2 linked regions of the Cricetulus griseus genome follow. The protein of the gene in region 2 purifies or fractionates together with the protein of the main gene of each other region. This does not show direct contact. Links are inferred from orthologs where the notes say so. Each region holds a gene or a part of one and is shown on either strand. Other genes may lie near its edges. The genes, in order: Copg2 and Copa.

Region 1 (11,765 bases), on a different chromosome or scaffold from region 2:
CATTGGCTGAGAAATAAGTATTTAAAGAATAGATTCTAAAAAGTATATTCTTCAGATGCAAGGAAAACTATTCCAGATAGTAATTCAGATATAAAGCAAGGAAGGAACAGTCAGACAGGAAAAAAAGTATTAAAGATAAATTTGAATGAAAGAAAAAACTAAAAAGATCTATTTCTAAATATATAAAAATATACTTAGAAATATACACATATATAAAGACATCTGTTTACATATTCATATATATGGTAGGACTGTCTAAGACTCTCAAATTTCCCATAAGCAGAGAAAAGATAGGGATGAATATTAGATTTTGATAAGTTCATAAAGCAATTTAGGGTAACTGCCAGAAACCCTGAAAATATTATCCAATATGCAAGTGGCGTTCTTCATTTTGTTGTCTTTCTTTTCTTCTTCAGGGTTATTTCAGACTGTTTCTATATCTGTCTTCAAGTACACGAATTCCCCCCCCCCCCCACTTTTCTCCTCTCTCTCTGGTATCCTTCCTAAGATTTAAACTCTCTTGGCCTTCCCAATTCTCCCTGTCCTTCCAGTTGCCTATAATCAGCCTCTGGGCAGCTCACTGCTGCAATCAAAGGGCTCATCTTGATTGCTTCCCTTTCTCAGATCACAGTCCTTGCATGCTGGACATACTGTCTGGAAACTGCAACTTCACATGGTTTTTTTTGTGTGTGTCTTTAGTATTTAGTATTTAGCAGGGCAAATCCAGCCCTACACAAAGCTGGAAACAAAACAGAAATGTGGTTCTTAAGATCAAAATATGGAGTAATTTATCCAAAATAACTGATTTTCTTTTCCTACTCGTTTCTTCTGCTTCTTTCAGTACTGATTTCTAACCCTGCTACAGCATAGCTAAAATACGATTTTGTTCCTTTAAAATTACCTGTCTGCTTTTATTCTGGTTCTGTAAATGCTGTGTTCTTCATTTATATACACAATTAGATAAATTTATGTGTTTGTCTTTTTCTCTTCTCTTGCTCTCATTCTCTTGCTTCACTTTTTAATGGGCTTCACACTGTGACACAGACTACACTTGAACTCAGTAGGCAGTCAAGAATGGCCCTAAACTTCTGGTCATCCTGCTGCTACCTGCCAAGTGGTTACAGGTGCACACCATCGCCTGGTGTGATGGGCTTCATGCATTCAAGCCAAGCACTCTACCAACTAACCAATATCTTCAGCTCATCCTATTTTCCTCCAATTATTTTGGAAAAGAAACATTAATAGGAAAAACAATAAATCAAAAAGCTTGCTCCATGAAAATATCTATAAGGTATAAACCTCCAGATGAAACTCTAAGGAATACAAGACATAATTTACCCATATTAAAATGATAGATATCATTACAAAATCTACAGACATTATAAAAAAAGATAATGAACAATTTTATTTTCCATCCTCCAACAAACTCAACCTTGTGCATACACTCACATGCACACACGTACAGGTGCACTCACACACACAGAAAAATTCTTTTATCATTTCAATTTTCTTCCATTAATGTTCCTATCCTTCAAATTGAAATCTTTTGTTCCCTAAGGATTGCCCTGCAACTTTCTAAATGGTGGCTGTTTTCTTTCTCATAACCTCCAGACAAGGAAGCCACTCCTGCCTTTTCAGCTCCTGACATCACCTTCTTTCAGTGCACCCCCTTCCCTAAAACGTTCTGGATTTTAAATGTCATGCCCTTACACCATATCACCTACCATCATTCACCGCAATGGTGACTCATTTTTGCTGTCACAGCCTCTAGCAGTGACAGCCACCACTCTTGGCTCCATCAACCTGGTTCATTCTATCATTACGTATAACCCCTCTATCCTATAATTATTTGCTGACCCCAACAGGCCCAATGCCAGGTACCTGACTGCAAAATCAGAGCCACATCCAGCCTTGCCTGACTTTTATAAAACAGCACTATTCCAACAACTTGAAATGCCTACTTTTCTAGTCTAACCCTGAAGGAAGAGCACAATGGCTCTGTTTTTTGATTGAACGCTGAATTCTTGGTACAGGAAGTGATTAAAAGGGTGCATGTCCTAGAGGCTAGGAACTTGAAAATGCTTCTCTGTTTGGACTGAAGACATTAACAATCCTGTTTCTAGGTAATCAGGGGATGAAAGTAGTCCATAGCATGAAATAACAAAGAAACATTTAAATTATCACTTGTAAAGACTTACAGAAGACAGTTTTAGTTAAATAAGAGGGTGCATTGTAATAAAAATTAAGTTGTTAAAAGTAATTTGTTTAGGGGGCTGAGAAAGCTAGTTCAGTAGGTAAAGGCACTTGCTACCGATACCGAAGGCCTGAGTTCAATCACCTGGACCGTCATGGTGGAAGGACAGGACTGAGTATTGCAAGTCGTCCTCGACCTCCACACAGGCACCACCGCATGTGTGCACATACAAATCACATACAAATCTCTTCAAAGAAAATGATGAGCTTAACAGGTTTAAAATGGACAGCTGAAAGTCTGTGAAGGAACCAGAGATCCTCTCTGGTCATATATACTATATATTATACTGCTGTGTGACAGGAACCCTTTTGCCATGACCATGTGGCCACAAAACTGGGAAAGCATATCCTGCAGGAAGTTTAATTACAAAACAAATTGAAGCCATACCCCTGGAGAACTAGATTGGCAAGGAAGAAGATCTGAAAGTGAGGTGGAGACAAATGGACAGATTTTGATGAAGGTATCTGAAACCCCAAATTCTGCCAAGCATCTTTTGTCAATACAAGTACTCTGATCTGAGGGGACTGTTCTCCCTCTACCTGAGCATATATAAGGCTTCCCTTAATAGAACTGTCCTACAGGGGTCTGCTGATTTTCTTGAAGAACCACTTCTAAAATCTTCATTATCTAGACATATGGGGCAGACTCAAATCCCAGGGGTCCTAGGAACTGGACACAAAATGTACCCTGTGCTGATACACAATATGCATGAAAAGAAGTTGGCAAAAGCATGTTAACAAAAGGCTAAGAAATATGTATCCCAGAATTCTCCTCCCTGTGTGTGTCTGTATTGAAGCTGGGCACAGAAGAGATGTGCCACACTCAGAAAACACAAGGAGAGCGGCAGCAACCACCTCTAAGCACTGAGGTGGCCCAGGGTAATGAGGCAGCTACGGAGGTGTGGCAGGCTTACTGTGTCCCCACTCCAAATGCAGCTCTTTTCAACCGCCACCCCGCTGACCAATAACCTGGACCCAAGAAAAACCTGACTAGGAGCCAACTGAGCGGGACTTCAGGTATCAGCTTTCCCCCTAATGACGTCAGGAGCAGCTTTATACTATATACTTTATATAGTAATACTATACAATATACTTTATACTATATACTTTCATTCTCCCACATTCACATGACATTTAAAAACATCCGTAAGTTTTATAAGGAAAGACTGTTTTAAAGTCATTTTAAACATTTCAAACAACCCTCTTTAATTTGGAATACTCTTAAGTTCCTGGGAAAAATAAATGTTTTCATCATAAAAGAATAAAAAAGACTTACATCATTAGATTGAAACAAGCGAGTCATTGCAAAGAAGGCTTCTGTAGCTTCCATAGTCCCAAAGGGCTCACCCTAAGTAAAATTTAAAACGAGTTTTTAAAATGAAAAAATATAGATGTTAAGGATTTTCTCTTTATTTCCTCAAGAAATCATTTTGAATTCAGGAGAAGGTCTCTTTATAAACATTCTTGGCAACTTTTCTGCTTTCGATTTAGAAACCTGCAGGGGAGAAAAACTCCTCAGGGCCATTTAGAGACTTGTTATTTAAAATAATTCAAAATACCACACCACAGTTCTGGAATTGTAGTCTCTACATCTTTAACAGAAACTGCTTCTATTTCCCTCAAGGATTTACAGGGAGGTAAAACATGATAGGAAGTAGAATTTCCAATCACCATTGCATGATAAGGTCACACAACCTAAAATCAGGGATTACACCTTGTAAATTTCCACAGTCTAATGCCTGGCACATAACCAGTACAGGACAGGTGTATCGCGCTTGCGTGCGTGCGTGCGTGTGTGTGTGTGTGTGTGTGTGTGTGTGTGTGTGTGTGTGTGTGTGTGTGTGTGTGTGTGTGTGTGTGTGTGTGTGTGTGTGTGTGTGTGTGTGTGTGTGTGTGTGTGTGTGTGTGTGTGTGTGTGTGTGTGTGTGTGTGTGTGTGTGATCCCAGAAAAAATGGCAACATGGTATCCAAACCAAAAGAGAAGGATCTAGATTCATCTTCTTTTTATCTTTCTAGGTGCTATAGATACTGACCTAAAAACTCTTAGAAGCATGATTTGGAGCTTACAATTTTTGATGCGAAAACAGATTATTTAGGGATCCTGTCAAAATGCAGTCCCCTTCAGTGAAATCTTGAGGAAACATGACAGTTTTCACTTGGTACAAACTCCCAGACACGACAATGCTGTTGCTGATCTGGCAGTAGCTCAGATAGACAACTTAATTCACTAATTTAAAACATTTCTGGTCATAGACTTCCTCAAACACTACCATTTCAATACTTACTCTTTTCTTTGACATTGGTCCTATACAGCACATCAAGCCCAATCAGTTTTCAGGGTTCAGATTTTAAATGAGATACAAGTAGTCTTACATCTATTTGCCAAGGGGATAAGAATTTTGCTATAAAAAGTGTCTCCAGTTTAGGATGAAAGACAAAGTCTAACAAAAGTTTACAACTATTTAAATCAGTGTCCAACTTGCTTATCAGAAAGAGACAGGCCTTTCTTACTGTGAAACTCGCCAAATACCCAAAATCCTGTGGGAGTCTTCAGTCATATTAGAAAAATCTTGTTACTACTTTTTGACTTAAACTCAGAATGTGTGGCTCTGTCAACTCTAGCAGAAATTTTGAAGTGTTTTTTTGTTTGTCTGTTTGTTTGTTTGTTTCTCCCCCTTTTCTCATAGAGTTCTACAAGAACCAGGGAAGGGGATAAAATGAATGCTCCCAACCCTGTTTACATGACCAAGTTCATGCCCAGTCTCCTTAACAAGATCACTGCCAACAGGAATTGATCCAAGAAAGAGATATTGGCCAACTTGACTTTGACTTCTTTGAACCAACTTTGACTACTACAATTCCAATGGAGTTAGCCACTTTGGACTACAATACAATATATGTGATGCAAAGTCAAACTGATTTTGGCTTAAACATTCCTAACATGCTGCCACAGTAGGGTAACATGCTTATTTCTCAATCTTCATTTGGAAACAACAAAATTTTGTTAAGTCTTTAGATTACGTCTTTAGAGGCTGTTAAGATGGCTCAGTGGATAAAGACACTTGTTACCAAGCCTGACAACTTGAGTTCAGTCGCCATGTAGAGAGACCCGACCTCCATATGCACTTGAGGAAAGCACACACAAAGTTAATAAGTAAATGTAAAAAAGTAAAATAAAATTTTTTCTTAGAATTTCAGTTGGTAAATATAACACATTTAGTAATACATATAAATCTCTTAGGTATGCAAAGTATATAGGTTTGTATATAAATACTCAAAGAGAAACATACTGTCTACAAAATAAAATCATATTTTCTAAAGTTTTAAATATTTGTGAGACTGAATTTACTGTTTGAGGCAAAGGCAAAAAAGAAAATTAATAGCAATAATAGAACACAGAATTTAAAAAAAAAATTGGTTTTGTCTGCTATAACACCAGTGCCTAGAACAGTATATAAGATACAGCAGGAATGCAATAAAACTTGTTGAGTTACAAAAGGAAAGTATTTCTGAATACAAACTATGTGCTTAATACTATTACAATGGCTTATATCTACTATTTCATTTAACTGTAATGTTATCATCTGGGTGTGGTGGCACACACATTTAATCCCAACACTCGGGAGGCAGAGGCAGGCCCATTTCTGTGAGTTCGAGGACAGCCTGGGCTGATCTACAGAGCATGTTCCAGGACAGCCAGGGCTATTACACAGAGAAACCATCTCAGGAGGAAAATATATTGGTATTGCAATCCTCATTTACACAAGAGCAGTAACCCACATAATGATTAAACTACTTGTCCAGAATCAAACTGGTAGTAATAGTGTAATAATGCTACTAATACAAAACCTGAACATGGCTCATGTTATTTCTGTCCTAACAAACAAATCTCAGGAAGTCAGAATAGTTTACCTGGTTGAGTAAGTACAGAATCTTTGTCAAGATATGCAAGCATCTTCTTGGATTGATGGGGGTTTCATTGAATATGCGTGCCTACAGAAACATGCAAAACAGTATGCTATATATGGTGTAATTTCTATCACAGAGGACAACAAATCATCTTTAGTAACATTAACATCACGTTAGTAAACTATCCAAATAATGTCAGTTGTCTATGCTCTCAAGTTATGACAGTATACAGTAAATTACTGGATGGGACCTGGACTTTCCTATCTATACTTTCTTATTTACTCCCTTAGGTTGGCTATTTCAACTTTAAAGACTTTACCAGAACCTCTGTCTACATAGGAACATCAAGAGTTTAATATCTGAGCTGGGCGTCAGTGGCACACGCCTTTAACCACAGCACTCGGAAGGCAGAGGCAGGTGGATCTCTGTGAGTTCTAAGCCAGCCTGGTCTGCAGAGGGAGTTCCAGGACAGGCTCCAAAGCAATACAGAGAAACCCTGTCTCGAAAAACCAAAAAATAAAATAGTTAATATCTGTGAAGTCTTCCAATAACCTTGCACTTAACACTACTTCTTCTAGTATTTCATTAAAATCCCCCAGCACCCAACAGAGCCTGTAGGTCTACCTCTCTATGGTTCCAGACTGCCCTTTTCCCTCTTTCTATCCTCTGCACTCAGTTATACTCCTTTCTTACTTTTAATATAAAAAAGAAAAATCAATTTCTTTCTTTGACCAAATGTAGGGAAGAGTGACTTTTAGCCTGCCAGGTGGGTCTACGCTCCTTCATTCTTATTTTGGGTGTCCTGACTTTAGTACCTCAGAGGTTCTCTGCCCATCATTCTCAAACAGAATCAACAAGGTAGTGCACACATTCAAGCCATACCTCCTGCAGGACAGCACTCTTCTCCAAATTCTGGAAAGGATTGGAAGCACTACCTATAGTGTAAGAAAAAGAGAAGGTCTTCGGTAGCTGTCCTGCAAAGACTTTTTCCAGAGAAGGACATTGCATGCTTGGGGATTCTCACCTCAACAGTATGGTCCCTTGGAAGTCACAAGGACAACCATGACTAATATGCAAATTAGTTGGAAGAAGTAATTTTGGTTCTGGTACAAATTCTGTCATTGCCATACTGAGGGAGCATGGCCTTCTCTGGATATAGGAACCCTGTCCAAAATGAGTGCCTTCCCCCATCCCATGGATGTTAACAAATGTGTCGCTTCCACCACCACCACCAAGAGTAATGAGATGACAGGACACTATGGATTTCCCTAAAAGCAAGCCCTGCTGTACGTGTTTCACACATTTACTGAAGCAGAAAGGAACAGTGTCGCAGAGAATCACAAATGTAAAGAGGCCATGCAGGATGAGGCCATGAAGGTCCACTAACCCAACCTTCCACCACACTTGTGAGAGCAGCTACCACTGAAGAGCTGAAGATTTTTTTTTTTTTTTTTGAAGAGGCTTGGCATCTTCCCCACTTGCACTGCACCACAGACAGGGATCAACACGCAAGTCACTTCTGGATGCCTGCGCATTCAATGAGCTGTGTCCCACCGGGCAGTCTTAACCCCTGGGAACAGGAGAATCAAGGCCCTTCAGAGTCCATAAACACGCAACCCTGGCCCGGTCGACCCCAGCCAGCCCCAGCAACCAGGGGTGCTCGCCCTGGGGCCTAACCCCACCAGCAACCCCAGGCTACCGAGACATGCGCGCGCACCTCCTCGCCCCCCGACAGGGCCCCGCGGAGGGCCGGCTCTGAGGGGCGGGGACGCGCCGGGGCGGAGCCGCCGAGCGCTCCAGGCGACACCCGGGCCGGGAGCGCGCGGCCCGAGGGGAGGCCCCGGCGCCGGGGGAGGGGCTTCGGGCAGACCCCGCCGATGCGGCCGGTCCCCGGAGCAGGTGGCTGCTGCGGGCGAGGGAAGGGGGACCCCTGCGCTGGAGGGTGGGCGTCCGGAGCGCCGCGCGTACCAGACTCCTCGTCCTTCTTGTCGAATTTTTTAATCATCTTGGACGGCTTCCCAGCGCCCAGACCCACCGCAACCGTTCCAGGCGCCGCAGCCGGCGAGCGGAAGACGCTGCAGGAAGGCCGGCCCCGTGTCCTCACACCGGTTGGGCCAGCGGGCCGTCACTCGGGGCCAAGGCCCGCCCCCCTCGGGCGTCCATGGCCGCCCTCGCCCCCTAGGGACGCAGGCACGCCCTCTGCTCCGCCCACTGTCGCACGGGGGCGGGGCCAGGGCCAGACCCTGCCCGCAGGCTTGCCCCGCCCCTCGTCCCAGGTTCTGCAACTCGGGTCTGAGGCAGCAAGTGTGGAACTTTATTTGGTTAGTTGGTGACTTCTCCAGGCCTCCTCAGTTCTTGGAGAGCCAGGAAGGGGTGAAGGATTTGTCTTCACTTAATGACGGTGGCATTTTGGATAACCCACTGCTGAGCTCTTCCATAGCGAAAGACGTTCTCCCCTGGCACAGTTCTGGTAGGCTTCTCCTCCAGAAGCTTTAAAAATGTCAGTGGTTCCAAAAGCATGGACGAAGTTGGTGTCGCATCCTCTGACTTCTTGGAAACTACGACAAAGCATAGAACGCATTGAATGTGCATCTCCGAAAGGACTAGAGGGATAATTAAAGGAAGGTGTGATGCGATCCGTTTGGTGGGACCAGACTAACTCTTACCAAGAGGGTGCATTCTGGGACTGCCATTCTTGACCTCTTTGGATTCTGGATTCCTTCGTCACCAAAACCCACTGCCAATTTGGTCTTCAAATGATTCAATCTTCAGCCATACTGGTTAACGCTGAAGTAATTTAAGGGACACACACACTCTCTCTCTCACGTGCCCCGGTGCTTTCCCAAAATGTTCTCTCATTCTCGGCCCCGTCTCGAAGTATGAATAACACAATTTTTCTACCTTTGTCATGGATGGCATCATATTCTAGATGGTCTTTCCGGTTCCACCTGTTCTTAGGGCGTTGTCTATTGATGAAGGATCTTAACTACTGTCCTGGGTTCAGGGTGTGGTTTGCCTCTTGGGCAAATTCCTAACGAGCCTACAAAACTTCTACCCAGATCTCTCCAGAAACACATCACTGTTGAGGAAATGCACCATAACTGGCCATTTAGGTACACAGTAAACTAACAACTCAGGTTTGGAGAGGTCATCATTAATGTCACTAATATCATTAGAGGCTGCAGACTGATATGCTACTTTATGCCTGTATACCTAGGTCATCCTGTTACAGACAGGGCTCTTGCAAAATTACAAAGTCTTACCAAGGTTATATTGCAAATAGTAAAGAAAAATTTAAGGCATGGTTGGCTCATGCCTTAAATCCCCAGCACTAGGAGGCAGAGGCAGGGAGATTTCTGAGTTTGAGGCCAGCCTGGTCTAGAGTGTTTCCAGGATAGCCAGGGATACACAGAGAAACCTTGTCTCGAAAAACCAAAAGAAAAATTTCCCACCAGACACAGATTTAAGCTGAATAATGTGTCTAATCCTTAATAATGGTATTACTTAAGACTTTGCTCCATTCTGATTAAAAGTACTATGCTAGGGGCTGGAGAGATGGCTCAGTGCTTAAGAGAACTCGTTGCCCTTGCAGAGGACCTGGGGTTCAATTCAGCACCCACATGATAGTTCACAGCTATCAGTAACTCTAGTTTCAGAGGATCTGATGCCCACTCTTCTGATCTCTGTGGGCAACCAACCACACATGAAGTACACAGCATATAGGGCAAAACACTCATACATCAAATAAAATAAATAAATCTAACTTAAATTTTTGAGGACTACGCTAATGATTGTAACTGCCTCATTTGGCTTATAAATTCTAACCCATGCTCATCATGTGGAGTCTCTTGTGGAAGAAACATGCTTCCTCATCTATATTCTGGGGCTGAAAACAAACAGGCTTTGGAGAAGGAGAGACCAGTTATGGGATCATCTTTTGTACACTGTGAAGATGTGTCTCTGCCAAGGCATCTTCTGATTGGTTTAATAAAGAGCTGAATGGACAATAGCCAGACAGGAGAAGAAAAGGATGACTTCAGAGGAGAGAAAAAACTTGGAAAGAGTCTTCTGCATGCTGGGGGATGAAGCCAACAAGATGTGGAGGTGGTTGGATGTACAGTATGAAGAGAGGTAATGAGCCCTGTGGCGGAATATATGTTAATATAAACCGGATAATTTAAGTTATAAGAGCTAGTTGGGAACAAGCCTAGGCTAAGTCGAATCTTTTATAATTAATAATAAGTCTCTGTGTCATTATTTGGGGGGAGTCCAAAGAAAGTCTGACAAGAGAGACCTGCTATAGAGACCCTCTTCTCCCTTGGACCATAGTTATTGGGAGTTAGGTAGGGACAGGGTCATGAAACCTGGCAATTTTCAAGAACAGGTAATGTAAAGGAGGCCTGTGGAAGAGTAAAGAAACTGAGGGTGGGGTGAGGCTGGGCTCTTTTAAACAAGATGGATCACTGTGCTTCTTCAGCTTTTTCATACATTGATCCATTTTTCCCCCTCACTACAGATTGGTTTCAGTTGTATATGGGGAATTGGGGAGAAGCATAGGTAGGGATAGAATGGAAGGAGGGGCAAATGAGTATAGGAGGAGACAGAGACGATGGAAGGAGGCTAGGAAAGGGTGGTATAATATAACCTATATCTCTAAAAGAAAATAATGATTGCCTTATGCTAAAGCTGTGACTGGTGAAGTCTAGAGGCTCATCAATTGCATGTCTAATATACAGTTATGTGTTTGACACCCCGAAACCCTTCAGTGGGGCCCAACTACATAATGGAGAAAATCCAAGCACATATTGCATATTTATATAATATACAAGGCCCTTCGTGGTCTAGACTGTCTTTACCTTTGGTGTTTAGTAAGAGCCTAACACAGAACACCCGCCCCCATGAGTGTTATCAAATGAGAGACAATGTATGAGCATTCTTACTATGCCTTCTGTAAATCCTTGTCCCAACACCCTTCAACCCTATTCTTACCTCTGTCTCAAAGAGACCTGCTGGCCTCTGAGACACACATACTTTTTGTTGTTTCAAGACAAGGTCTCACTATGTAGCTCTAGCTGTTCTGGAACTCACTATGTAGACCAGGTTGACCTCAAACTCATGAGATCTGCCTGTCTCTGTCTCTCAAGTGCTAGGGTTAAAGACGTGAACATCAGGCTTGTGACACACATACTTAGCCTTTGGTCCTTTACAGCAGGTTTCCAGAAAGTATGATGTGCACGTATCTGGGAGGTTTTAGGTTGTACACAAATATACATTTTAAACTACATGTAGCCAAATGTCAAATCCAGGTTATCAACAATTATACTATTTAGTTTAAGAGTTTTTTTTTTACTTTAAAATGCATCATTATTGCAAAAACTATGAAAATGGTAGATTGATATAGTCCAGGGAACTCTCTTACCTTCTTGAACTTTCTAGAAATGTGAGTATCAAAATAGTCTAGCACCATCTTAACTTTCCTTCTATAAGGAAAAGTAGTGTTTGGACCCATGACAAAAGATGCCAGCTCAAGCAAGTCTCTAAGCCCAGTGGATTCTCACTCTAGCCCACATCTCAGTTTAGCAAAGCACAGTTGGAGAGAGGAG
Region 2 (11,563 bases):
TTGTGTGTGCATTTGTTTTGTTTTACCGAGACAGGGTTTCTCCGTGTAGCCCTAGCTGTCCTGGAACTCACTCTGTAGAACCAGGCTGTCTTCAAACTCAGAAATCACCCTGCATGTGCCTTCAGAGTGCTGGAACTAAAGACGTGTGCTACCACGCCCGCTCTGCTTTCTATTCCTCCTTCTGATAGTCCTAACATCCTACCGCAATGTAACTCACCCCTCACTGCTCTTTCTGACTTCCTAATACATAGTGAATACTGACAAAACCGTATTTCATAGTACCCCCTCTCCTTTCTTGCTTGAAGAGGCTCATTTAGCTCAGGCTGACCTAGATCCTCATCCTGTTGCCTACACACCCCAAGTACCAGTATTACAGATACTCACTGCCATGCCCTATTCTGCTCATATATTTTTTTTAAGATTTTATTTATTATGTATACAACATTCTGCTTCTATGTACATCTGCACACCAGGAGAGGGCACCAGATCTCATAACGGATGGTTGTGAGCCACCATGTGGTTGCTGGGAATTGAACTCAGGACCTCTGGAAGAGCAGTCAGTGCTCTTAACCTCTGAGGCATCTCTCCAGCCCCTCTGCTCATATTTTTTTCATACTGTTTAAGGACTTAATGGCTCTCCACTGCTTATGATTAACTTCAGACTTTTGACTGATAGAATTATTTCATATATATCCATTCTTCTTTCCCAAGTTAGGTAAGTGACAAGAAGCAGAGATTATCAACTGGGTTCACAATACTTACTTTAGAATGTTTGTGTACAGTTTTGTGATTTAATTTGTAAACTTACAAAAAAAAAGACCCTTATTTTTAGACAGGGTCTCACTATGTAGCACTGGCTGGCCTAGAACTTAAAAGATCATCCTGCCAAGACTTAAAAAATATTTTTAATTATTTAAAATTGTGTGTGCGCACATACGCATTTGGGTGTGTGTTTGTGAGTGCACTTCCTGTTAGGAGCAAGAGGTGACAAATCCCTCTGGAGCTAAGAGTTATAGGTGGTTATGAGCCACCAGGTGTGGATGATGGGAACTGAACTCTAGTCCTCTGCTAAGCCATTTCTGTAACCCCCAAGATGTCGTTCTTGAGACGGTCTCACTCTTTAGCCAAGGCTAGCCTTGAATGTGAGACAATTGTTCCGCCTCAGCCTTCCAAGAATTTTAATTATAGGTGTAAGCCACCATGCCTGATTCTTGCCTGTACTTGCAGGAAGGATGTTTAAAACTTGAGAAAATATTTTTATAGTATACAGGTTTTTGAGAAAGCAGCCTTAGTTTGAGGATTATATTTAAGACAGCAACTCTTAGATCTGACAACATAAAAGTCCTGTGATCTTTGAAGCAGGTATTCCTTTTGTAGTTCAGCCTCAGGGATACTTTCCCCACCCATACAATGTGTGTTCAAGTTTATTTATTGCAACAACGCTGATAATTGCAAAAGACTGCATAACCCAGATACTATAGACACTTTCATAACTTAAAATATGCAGTGAAAAAACTAGTATGTATACTAGTTTTAAAGCAAAATGTTCAAGACCTGTCTCAGAAATAACACAAAGAACCTGGTACACACTTTGCACATCTTTTCCCCAGTGGATATAGATAGCTCAGTAGTAGAATGCTTGCCTGTCATGTGCAAAACCCTGGGTTCAATTCCAGTCACTAAACAAAATTTCTGCATCTATCTAGTTTTTGAGAACGGTGTGTGCTACCCTATGTAGTGCTAGGAACTAAGTCCAGGACCCTGTACATACTAAGCCAGCACTCTACAATGGAGCTACATCTCCAGCTGTGTGCTTGTGTGGATCTACACGTGGGGTTGTGCATGGGAGCGCAGGTGCCTGTGAAGGCTCAAAACCCTGGCTCTCCTGGAGCTGGAGTTACTGGTGATAGAAACTGAACCTGGGCCCCCTGGAAGAACTATGCTTGCTCTTAACTGCCGAGCCACATGTTAGCCTATTTTGTTGTTTTTGAGATAGGGTAGTCCAGGCAGGCCCTGAAATACCCGGAGTTATCCTGAACTTAAAAAAAAAAAAAATGATTATTTTGTGGTTGAACGTTTTGATGGGTGTATAGATTTGTGCACCATGTGCTGTGCCTGTGGTTACCAGAAGGGTGAGTTAGAACACCTGGAACTGAAGTTATAGATGGTTGGAATTGAACCTGTGTACTCTGAAGAGCAGCCAATGCTCTTAACTGCTGAGCCATCTCTCCAGTCTCTGGTCTTCAACTATTTTTTTTTTTTTTTTTTTTTTTTTTTTTTTTTTTTTTGAGACAGGATTTCACTGTGTAGACCTTGGCTGATCTGGAACTCACTATGTAGACTGAGCCAAGTTGGTATTGAATTCACAGATTTGCCTCTGCCTCTGAACTGTTGGGATTAAAGACCTGAGCTGGTCTTAAACTTTTGATCCTGTTTTAACCTTCTAAGTGCTATAGAACAGATGGAGCCACCAGACTGGGTCTGAATGCTTATATTTTAAATCAAAGGAGTAATATATCATCTATCCATTACTCAGTATAGAAGCAAAATGCCCTTCTGACAATTGTGATAGTTCTATGAATATGACATAATTTAGAATCACCTGGTAGAAGGACCTCAGAGAATGTCTGTTTAGAATTATGTGCCCACCGTGGGCAGCAGCATTTGCTGGGCCTGAGGTCCTGAATTTAAAGGAGAAAGCTGCCTGCCTCTGCCTTCAGAGTGCTGGTACTGAAAAGAGGTAGACTTCTTGCCAGGCAGTGGTGGTGCACTCCTTTGGTCCCAGTACTGGGGAGGCAGAAGCAGGCAGATCTCTGTGAGTTCCAGTACAGGCAAGGCTGCCACACAAAGAAACACTGTCTGGAAAAAACAAACAACAATAACAACAACAAAACCCTCCTTTTTCTTCCCAGTCCTGTCAGTTCAGGGCCAGCCAGACCAGCCAAATAAGATCCTGTCTCAAAACAACAACAAAAACAAAAAACAAAAAAGAAAACTAGTCGAGTACTGGCAGGAATACTTGAATTCTTTGCTCTTTGCTCTTGACTGTGGATCTAATGTGACTAGCTGCTTCAAACCCCTGCCACCTTCACTTCCCTGCAGTGATGGACTGACTGTAAGCTGGAAATGGGAGTCAAATAAAGAAACCCTTTCTCCCTGTGGTTGCTTTTGCCAGGGTATTTTTGTCACAGTACTGGGAAAAGAAGCTAAGACAACTGTGTGCTTATTGTAAATACATGAACAGTGATGGACACTGATAGGTGCTCAGCAAATATTGGCTGTAATCAGCAACAGATAGAAAGCTGTAGTAAAAATGCAACAGAGAACTCTTTTTACTTTTTATTTTATTGGTGTTTTGCTTGCATGTATGTCTGTGTCAGAGTGTCAAATCCCCTGGAACTGGAGTTATAGACAGGTGTGAGCTGCCAGGTGGGTGCTGAGAATTGACCCTGGGTTCTCTGGAAGAGCAACCAGTGCTCTTAACCACTGAGCCATCTCCCAGCTCCAAGAGAACTCTTCTTACCATTCTCCAACAATGTAGATCTATGCAGCACATATCTCTTAAGAAAAAAATGTCATTTTCTCCTTGCAGTGATATTAATTAAAATGTATATAATAATTAAAAATTGATTCTGAACAAAGAATCTCCTCTGGTGAGAGAGCTACATAGATGCGAACAGGCACATGAAATTAACTGTCCAAGAAGTAAATGGCAAGCCAGGGAAATAAAGTATTTACTTTATTTTTAATGTGAGCAACAAAACACAAGAACAATGGCTATAAAGGACAAAACAAATCAGTGAAAAATGGTATACATTTTGAAAAAAAAAAAAAAAAGACTCCTCAGTCTGCAAGTGTCTGGGCCCACAGAGGGAAGAAACCTACTGATGACGTTAAATGCCCAAGGAAAATACAAGATAGTTATGAATTTCGTGGCATTTATTAAATTCCACTGTTTTCTAGTGGAGTGGAAACAAAGGCAGTAGGTAAGAGAGGAATAAATACTGAAAGAATCTGCTACACAAATGTCCTGCACAAAGTTTTCATTTGTTCCTTGGAAGACCCAAGCTGAACGGCAAAATCACCTTCAGGAGAGAGAGGTCTGCAGGAGCAAGGTCAAGTCTGAAAATCCCAATTTGCCATAGGAGAGAAAGGACATGAAGTTTCTGGGAGAACCAGATGTCAACAAGCTGAAGTGTGAATGTTAGGGGAGGGAGGGGAGTGGAGCGAGAGACTCTGAAGGACAGGATGTGATTAATCCACGAACTTGAAGGAAGGAGACTTAGCGGAACTGAAGAGGACTGATCCTCAGACCAATCACATCTTTGCCAATCTCTGTCACCTGTGGAAGTGGGAATCAGAGAAGTTAGAGATGAACAAGGCGGAGACCCCAGAAAGCTCATTCCCTACACGCCCCAACAAGCTGTCAGATGGATGCTTGGTCCTGAGAAGTGGGCCAGCGGGCAGAAGCTCCAGCTCTCCCCAGTGTCACTGCCTCAAGGAGCTGGGGCAGATGCAAGGTGAGAAAATCACCACCACCATGCTTCCTTCTCTTGCCCCTCCTCTCAATATCCTCGAGATACTCTTGAGGACAAGACTTACCGTAGTGACTCTGCAGATTTGCCCCTTGAACTCAGGGGCATAGCAGGCCCCACTGAGTGGACACTTCTCCACGGGCTTTCCACGGTAGATGGGCCGGTAAGATGCAGCGCAAATGTCGAAGGGGTTGTGCATGTCGTAACTGAGCTGGCAGGCGTCTGTGGGGTTCTTCTCACAGGCAGACAGGATCTTCCTAGTCTGAAGGGGGAAGAACATTTTGTTTAGGGGATAGAAAGCAGCACAAGTACTCTCTGATATAAGATGCAACTGTATACTGGGCATGATGGCCTAAATCTACAATCCCAGCACTTAGGAGCAGAAGGATCTCAAGTTCCAGGCCAGCCTGAGTTACATACTGAGACCCAGTCTCAAACAACAGAACACAACCACTACACTACAGGAATATAGGTCCCATCCTATGGATAAGATGGATGTGAAAAATTAACAACTGCTATTGCTCCTGGGTGTAGCAGTGCATCACAGCACTCAGGAGGAGGCAGAGACAGGAGATTCAGGACTTTGAGGGCCAGTGTGGGATACACAGTGAAATTTTTCTCTCTTTTCAACATGGCTCCATTGCTCTAAATCCACAGTTCTCACAAAGTCTAGGGATTAGATTACTAGGGTTTGGCCTCAGAAAGAGTTAAAACAGATTTCTATTGCCTAAGAAGAATGTTTTTAGATGGCATAGATAATGGATTATGTATGAGAAGTACAAGAGGTCAAGCTGTGTCACCTGGAGCTTAAGAACAGACGCATCATCTGCAGGTGCACTGGAGTTATTCTAGATTGCACAGCCAAGGAGCAGTAACACGCAGCACAAATGCCAAATTAAAAATTAAATCTAGCCTGGTGTGGTGGTACATGTTTTTAATCTCAGTACTGGGGAGTTAGAGGCAGAGGCAGAGGCAGGCAGATCCTCTGTGAATTGGAGGCCAGCCTGGTCTACATAGTGAATTCTAGGACAGTCAGGTCTACATAGAAAAAAAATTGAGTCAAACTTGGGCAAGGTATTTTCCTTCTCAGTATTGCTTTCTCATTACTAAAATACAGTTATAGTCTGTATAGTATAGGGTCTACTCCATTTAAACATCTACATAAAGTATTTTAGCATGTCACTTACCCAATGCCATGTCTGAATAAATTATTACTTTGGTTTCAGGGGGAAAAAAAGAAGCTCCAAGGTCAATAAGTAACACATAGCGTGTCATTCTATTGGCTGTTTGGGGCTGAATGCTGTTATACTGTTTTGTTTCAGAGACAAGGACCTTGGGCTTCTATTCCTTCCATCTGGCCCCCCTAAAGTCCCTAATGGAATTCCCCTGTACCTGTTGGGCCACTTCAGGCTTTGGCCCAAGTTCTAGCAAGCGCCGGGCAAATGTGGCAGCTGTTTTGAAATTCTTGAGCTTGAAGAAAAGGTTGAGGGCTGTCCGCAACACCAGGATCATATGCACAGGCTGCAGGTTTGAGTGTGTGAAATAGGCTGCCATCTAGTGGACAGAAAGGAACACAAGGCAGGCTGATGTTCAGCTGTTGTTTATTAATAGGCACACAATTATAAAAAACAAAATAATACAAAGCAAAGATGATTGGCTATAAGACAGAGATTAGTTCTACCTCTTAAAATACGAGAGCTGATGATCTGAGGAATAAGGGTGGAGAAATGGAGAGGAACTCCAATAGAGGGCTATGGGGATGGTGCCTTTGCAGGGCTGGCCCTACGCATCTTACCTCACAGATGCGCTTCTGCTGCTCTAGGCTCTCCTTAGGCAGCTTCTTCCTTTCTATCTCCATGCACAAACCCACAATGTATTCACGGCAGATGGTGATGAGCTGCTGGGCCTGAAGAGGTTGCAGAAAACAGTCATGACACAGACAATACTGTGGAGATGCCCAGGATGATTGGGCAAGTGGCTTGACTCCTACCTCTGCAATCTCCTGCTTATTGTCCACAACAAGAAGAGGCACACTGAGCAAAATGGAACGGAACTTTTCCACAGCTTCTTCAAACTTGCCAACTGTGGTGAGCTGGTAGCACAGCTGTAATCGTTGGATCAGGTCATTAAGCTTTAGGCCCACAGCTGGCACACCATTCTTTAGCCCTGCCTCCTTCCTGGAAAGGAAAAATTATGAAGAAAATAGGATAGTCAGTCATTCTACTGTGAAAGTAGCTGGGAACAGGATGACAACTGGTATAAACCAAACTCCAAAGTAACAAGCCATAGATCTTTTCTTCTGGAAACCTTAGCTCCAGGGCAATTCCGTTTCACTGTGGTTACCATCTGAAGTGTCTACTTCAACTTGGAAGAGGTAGCAAGGAGCAAGCAGACTTACCAGTTTCGATTAGGGTAACTATACATGGATGGCAAGCAGGGCAGTGCTTGATAGGTGGTGCGGCCTCGGGCATATGTCTGTAGGAACAGTTGCTTATAGGGGCCAAACTGGATTACTCCCACCTGGTCATGAAGAAGCTACCAAACAAAAAAGAAACAGGATTTGTTTTCTTTCTTTTTTGGTTTTTCAGGTTAAGGTTTCTCTGTGTTGCCCTGGCTGTTCTGGAACTCACCTTGTACACCAGACTGGCCTCAACTCAGAGAGAGCCACCTATTTCTGCCTCTATACTGCTGGAGGATTTCTTTTCTCTCTCTCTTTCTTTCTTTCTTTCTTTCTTTCTTTCTTTCTTTCTTTCTTTCTTTCTTTCTTTCTTTTTTTCAAGATTTATTTATTTATTTTGTATACAGTGTTCTATCTGCATGTATGTCTGCAGGCCAGAAGAGGGCACCAGATCTCATTACAGATGTTTGTACGCCACCATGTGGTCCTGGGAATTGAACTCAGGACCTTTTAGAGAGTAGCCAGTGTTCTTAATCACTGAGCCATCTCTCCAGCTCTGAGGATTTATTAAAAATTAAGTCAACCTTGGGTAAGGTATTTTACATCTCTGTATTGCTTTCTCATTGCCAATATACAGGTAATTATAGGATCTCCATTTAAACATCTATATAGAGTATTTTAAAATAACACACAGCAACAATAAAGAAACACTGATGGTTGTTACAGTTGTTGTCATCCTAACACTTGCAGTGTGTGCAGGAACAGGTGCTGGTTTTCCTCATGTAAGCCAGAAAGCAGGCTACCAGCACTGGCAATGGCTGAAGATGCATCTTAAACCCTCACTGGCCAAGTGGAGAGTGGAAAGAGGCCTTTGTAAAGCCTCTTGTGGGCCCTTGTGGGTCAGACCACTACTCCCACGTGGCTGAAAAGATGAGTCCACCATTCTCCTGGGACTCTGGAATAGACACTCAAGAGGAAGGGCCAAGGTTTTTAAAGACTTACCCGCATGGCTGTTTCAAAAGAACCTGCCAGGATGTGATCAACTGGAAGCTGAGAGTTATTGCACCAGATCTAGTAAGAAACAGAAAACCTAAGTCAAATGAAAAATTTCCTTTTTCTTTCCAATTCTCCTCCTCCATATCTGTTAAAGGTAGCCAACATCTCCCCACCCCCTCCAGAAATCAAATATTAACCATCCCAGAGCACTCATCCCTGTGTAATTGTATTTTTCTGCTTACTTGAGTTGGGCTTGTTCCCTTGGTTGGGGGCACAAAGAAGCCATCTTCAGCACCACCGGCAACCCCAGCAGGTATATCCTAGAGGAAGAAAAATTAAGGCTTTGTTTAAACAGTCTGACAAAGCCTCAAACTCCCCATGTAGCAAGGACTGAATCTTCCTGCCTCTACCACTGTGCCTGGTTTATGTATTGTGGGGCTCTCAGCAAAGGCTTTGTACGTGCCAGGCAAGCACTGATCAACTCAGCTATGTTTGCAGGCTGGACCACCTCACGACATTTAAAAAAGCTGTCCAGGTACTGTGTTCTGATGATTTCAAGGCACAACCATCTAGATGGCCACCTCTGTTCAAGAAAAGAAGTGATGGTTGCGGGAACCACCTTACCAGGGACATAAAAGACACATTTTAGATGCCTACCTCTGCTGGAGAAAGATGATGGTTATAAGAGGGACAGATAGGAAGCCATGCCACCAAAATGAAAATGACATAACAAAAGCTCCAAATAAGATTTTAAACACCCCCCCTTCAAGTGGAAGATAAGCATTAGATTAGAGAGAGGTTATGTATCCCCTTCTCTAATGCTACATAAGAATGGAAACAAGGCTACAGTCCACAGTCAGCTCTCCTCTTTCAAAACCTATCAGATTAGGAGGCTGCTCTGGACCACTCTTTGTGGAGACTTCAGGATAGGCATCCTGTAAGAGATGTGTGTGTGTGTGTGTGTGTGTGTGTGTGAGAGAGAGAGAGAGAGAGAGAGAGACAGAGAGAGAGAGACAGAGAGAGACAGAGAGAGAGAGAGAGAGAGAGAGAGAGGAGAGAGAGAGAACAGAGAGAGAGAAAGACAGAGAGAGAGAGAAAGAGAAGATAGAAGAGAGAGAGAGCAGAGAGAGAGAGAGAGAGAGAGAGAGAGAGAGAGAGAGAGAGAAAGCGAGCATGCACCTGCCAGTTTTTATAGGGTGAAAAGGGGAGGAACTTCACATACCAGCTCAGGTGGGAGCTCCAGATCTTCTTCTACATCCCAGCCACCTCCTTCTTCTTGTCCCTTGCCAAGAGCATCCTCTCCCAAACCTTCTGAAGCCTCCACAAACCCATCTGAAAGGAAAATCCAGGATCAAAATAGATTTGGGTGGTAGCATAAAAAAAGCAAAATATTAGGATCTAATTGGCTCCATGAGTTAGAAGCTTATTGACTGCCCCATGGATAACTTCCATCCATGGAGCCTATCATCTAAGAAGAGTCCTAAAATAGCATTCCTACCTTCATCTAACTGCAGTTCCGCATCCTCTCCCCAGCCTTCAGTACCAACAGTGTCAATGTCAATGTCAGCAGCCAACGCTCCTCCCTTCCCTACCAAAGGAAGGACAGAAGGGAAATGGTTAGAGGCTATCAAGTCCGATCTCTACAGGCAAGGGGCAAGCTTCCAAAGGCAGTTGCTCAGGGCTGTGTCCTCAGGAATATGTGTTTTCCACTTAGGAAGTGCTAACTCTGAATGTCAGTAAACATGTTTTATTGTGTTAAGTCTCAAAACAACAAAAATACTCCAAACAAAACCCAATAATAATTGCCGAGGTTCTGGTTTTTGTGTTTGTTTTGTTTTTCTTTTAATGTCTGTGTATATGAGTGTCTGCAATTCTAGTGCTGAGAATCTAAACTCAGGCTCTCATTCTTGCATGGCAGGTACTTTACTGACTGAACCAGCTCTGAAGTAAAATTTGGTTTTTTGAGACAGGGTTTCTCCGTGGCTTTGGAGGCTGTCCTGGAACTAGCTCTTGTAGACCAGGCTGGTCTCGAACTCACAGAGATCCACCTGCCTCTGCCTCCCAAGTGCTGGGATTAAAGGCGTGCGCCACCAACGCCCGGCCCTAACCATATATTCTGAGTTATTGTTTTTGCTGTACATATGTTATGCTAACTTGCAACAGGATCCACAAAGAAAGGAAATAGAAGAGATAACCAGAAGTTGTTTTTTGGGGGAGTGGTGATGATAGCTAAGTTCAATGGTAGAGAGCTTGTCTAGCAAGCATGATGTCCTGGGTTCAATCCCTGTTGAGGTGGGAGAGAACTAACTCTCTGTTACTAAAATCTGGCTGTCTCTGGCTGCCCACCCTTGGACCTTCTTCCTGAAATCTTTGCTAAATCACCATTACTACAGTCTGTGCAGAGAATGAGGAGGCCGAGGAAAGAACAGAGCCAGACACAAAATGCCCGAAGTCTGCTTAGGGCTTACATAAAGGTGAAGTAGTGGAAATGTCCAAGCAAGTAAGAGGGCAAGGATGGCAGTATGGAGTGGGTGCCCACAGACACAAACACAGCACATGAACAGGAAAATAACGAGTGGAGATCACTGTATATACGGTGAACTAGAGAAACATATCAACGTGTTTACGGGTGTCAGTGACAGCACAGGCACCCACCTACATCATTTTCTCAATTTCTTTGTTTTGGGGGGATGGGGTGGGGGGCTAGAGACTTGAGAAAGGGTTTCATGTGATCCAACCTGATCTTACACTGGTTACATAATCTGTGATGACTGGCTTTGAACTCTTGTTCCTCCTGCTTCAACTTCTTAATGTCGAGATTACAGAGATGTGCCACACCTGGCTCAAATTTTCTCTCGTGATCTCAAAAAGCATTTCCTCAGTGTGTGAGACTACATCCTAGCCCTGGCTAGCTTTTCAGTGATCTGTGAAACTTCACACAGAAAAAAAGAACAAGTAAAACAGTTACTGGTACTTTCTAAGATTGTTTTTTTGTTTGTTTTTAAGATGTGGTCTCATGTAGTCCGGACTGTCGTAAAACTGACTATGTGGTCAAGGATGACCTTGAATTTTTGATTCTTTTATCTCCACATCCCTAGCTGGTGGTATTACAGGTGTGTGTCAGTATGTGCATAATGGTAGGGATGAACCCAGAGTTTCATACACACTAGGCAAGCAATCTACTATAGCGTGCTATAGGAGAAATGAGCACTTACCCTTGCTGGCAATGGAGCCCTCAAAGAACCCTTTGGACACAGTCAATAAGGGCCAATTGGTATCCAGTGGCATGATAGGTGCAGGCGGCTGGAGAAGCTTGGCATTAGGATCGATGTCCGGGATCTGAGAGGTGGAATAATAAAGATATTAAACATGAATAGCTCTTAAGCTCTCGACAGCATTATATAGAAGAAAAGGTTACTCTGCTTCCTCTAGACATCTTTAAGCCTCTCTCTATAATTTGCTGGTAGAGTAAAATTTATGGCTTTTTTTTTTTTTTTTTTTTTTTTGGTTTTTTGAGACAGGGTTTCTCTGTGTAGCTTTGAAAATTTATGGTTTTAAGTGATCCCAAGATGAGAATGAGTCCTGTTATCAGAAACATGTGTGTATATACTCACTGTCTCCTTCTCAGGGTCAA

What was found.
Region 1: the proteins of Copa (region 2) and Copg2 fractionate together in Homo sapiens (co-fractionation; 4 studies listed by BioGRID and IntAct, with this or other methods). This does not show direct contact. The link is inferred for Cricetulus griseus from reciprocal best matches to the Homo sapiens genes COPA and COPG2.

The regions. Positions count from the first base shown.
Region 1 is NW_023276806.1:196,962,714-196,974,478, reverse strand, and holds the start of Copg2 (coatomer subunit gamma-2), read right to left. Parts: upstream 7,713-11,765; 5' UTR 7,698-7,712; coding exon 7,550-7,697; intron 7,098-7,549; coding exon 7,045-7,097; intron 6,247-7,044; coding exon 6,166-6,246; intron 3,602-6,165; coding exon 3,530-3,601; intron 1-3,529. UniProt on the Homo sapiens protein: The coatomer is a cytosolic protein complex that binds to dilysine motifs and reversibly associates with Golgi non-clathrin-coated vesicles, which further mediate biosynthetic protein transport from the ER, via the Golgi up to the trans Golgi network.
Region 2 is NC_048598.1:20,726,179-20,737,741, forward strand, and holds the end of Copa (coatomer subunit alpha), read right to left. Parts: coding exon 11,544-11,563; intron 11,269-11,543; coding exon 11,145-11,268; intron 9,518-11,144; coding exon 9,428-9,517; intron 9,262-9,427; coding exon 9,152-9,261; intron 8,250-9,151; coding exon 8,172-8,249; intron 8,005-8,171; coding exon 7,936-8,004; intron 7,071-7,935; coding exon 6,934-7,070; intron 6,713-6,933; coding exon 6,526-6,712; intron 6,442-6,525; coding exon 6,331-6,441; intron 6,090-6,330; coding exon 5,928-6,089; intron 4,798-5,927; coding exon 4,603-4,797; intron 4,343-4,602; coding exon 4,283-4,342; 3' UTR 3,707-4,282; downstream 1-3,706. UniProt on the Homo sapiens protein: The coatomer is a cytosolic protein complex that binds to dilysine motifs and reversibly associates with Golgi non-clathrin-coated vesicles, which further mediate biosynthetic protein transport from the ER, via the Golgi up to the trans Golgi network.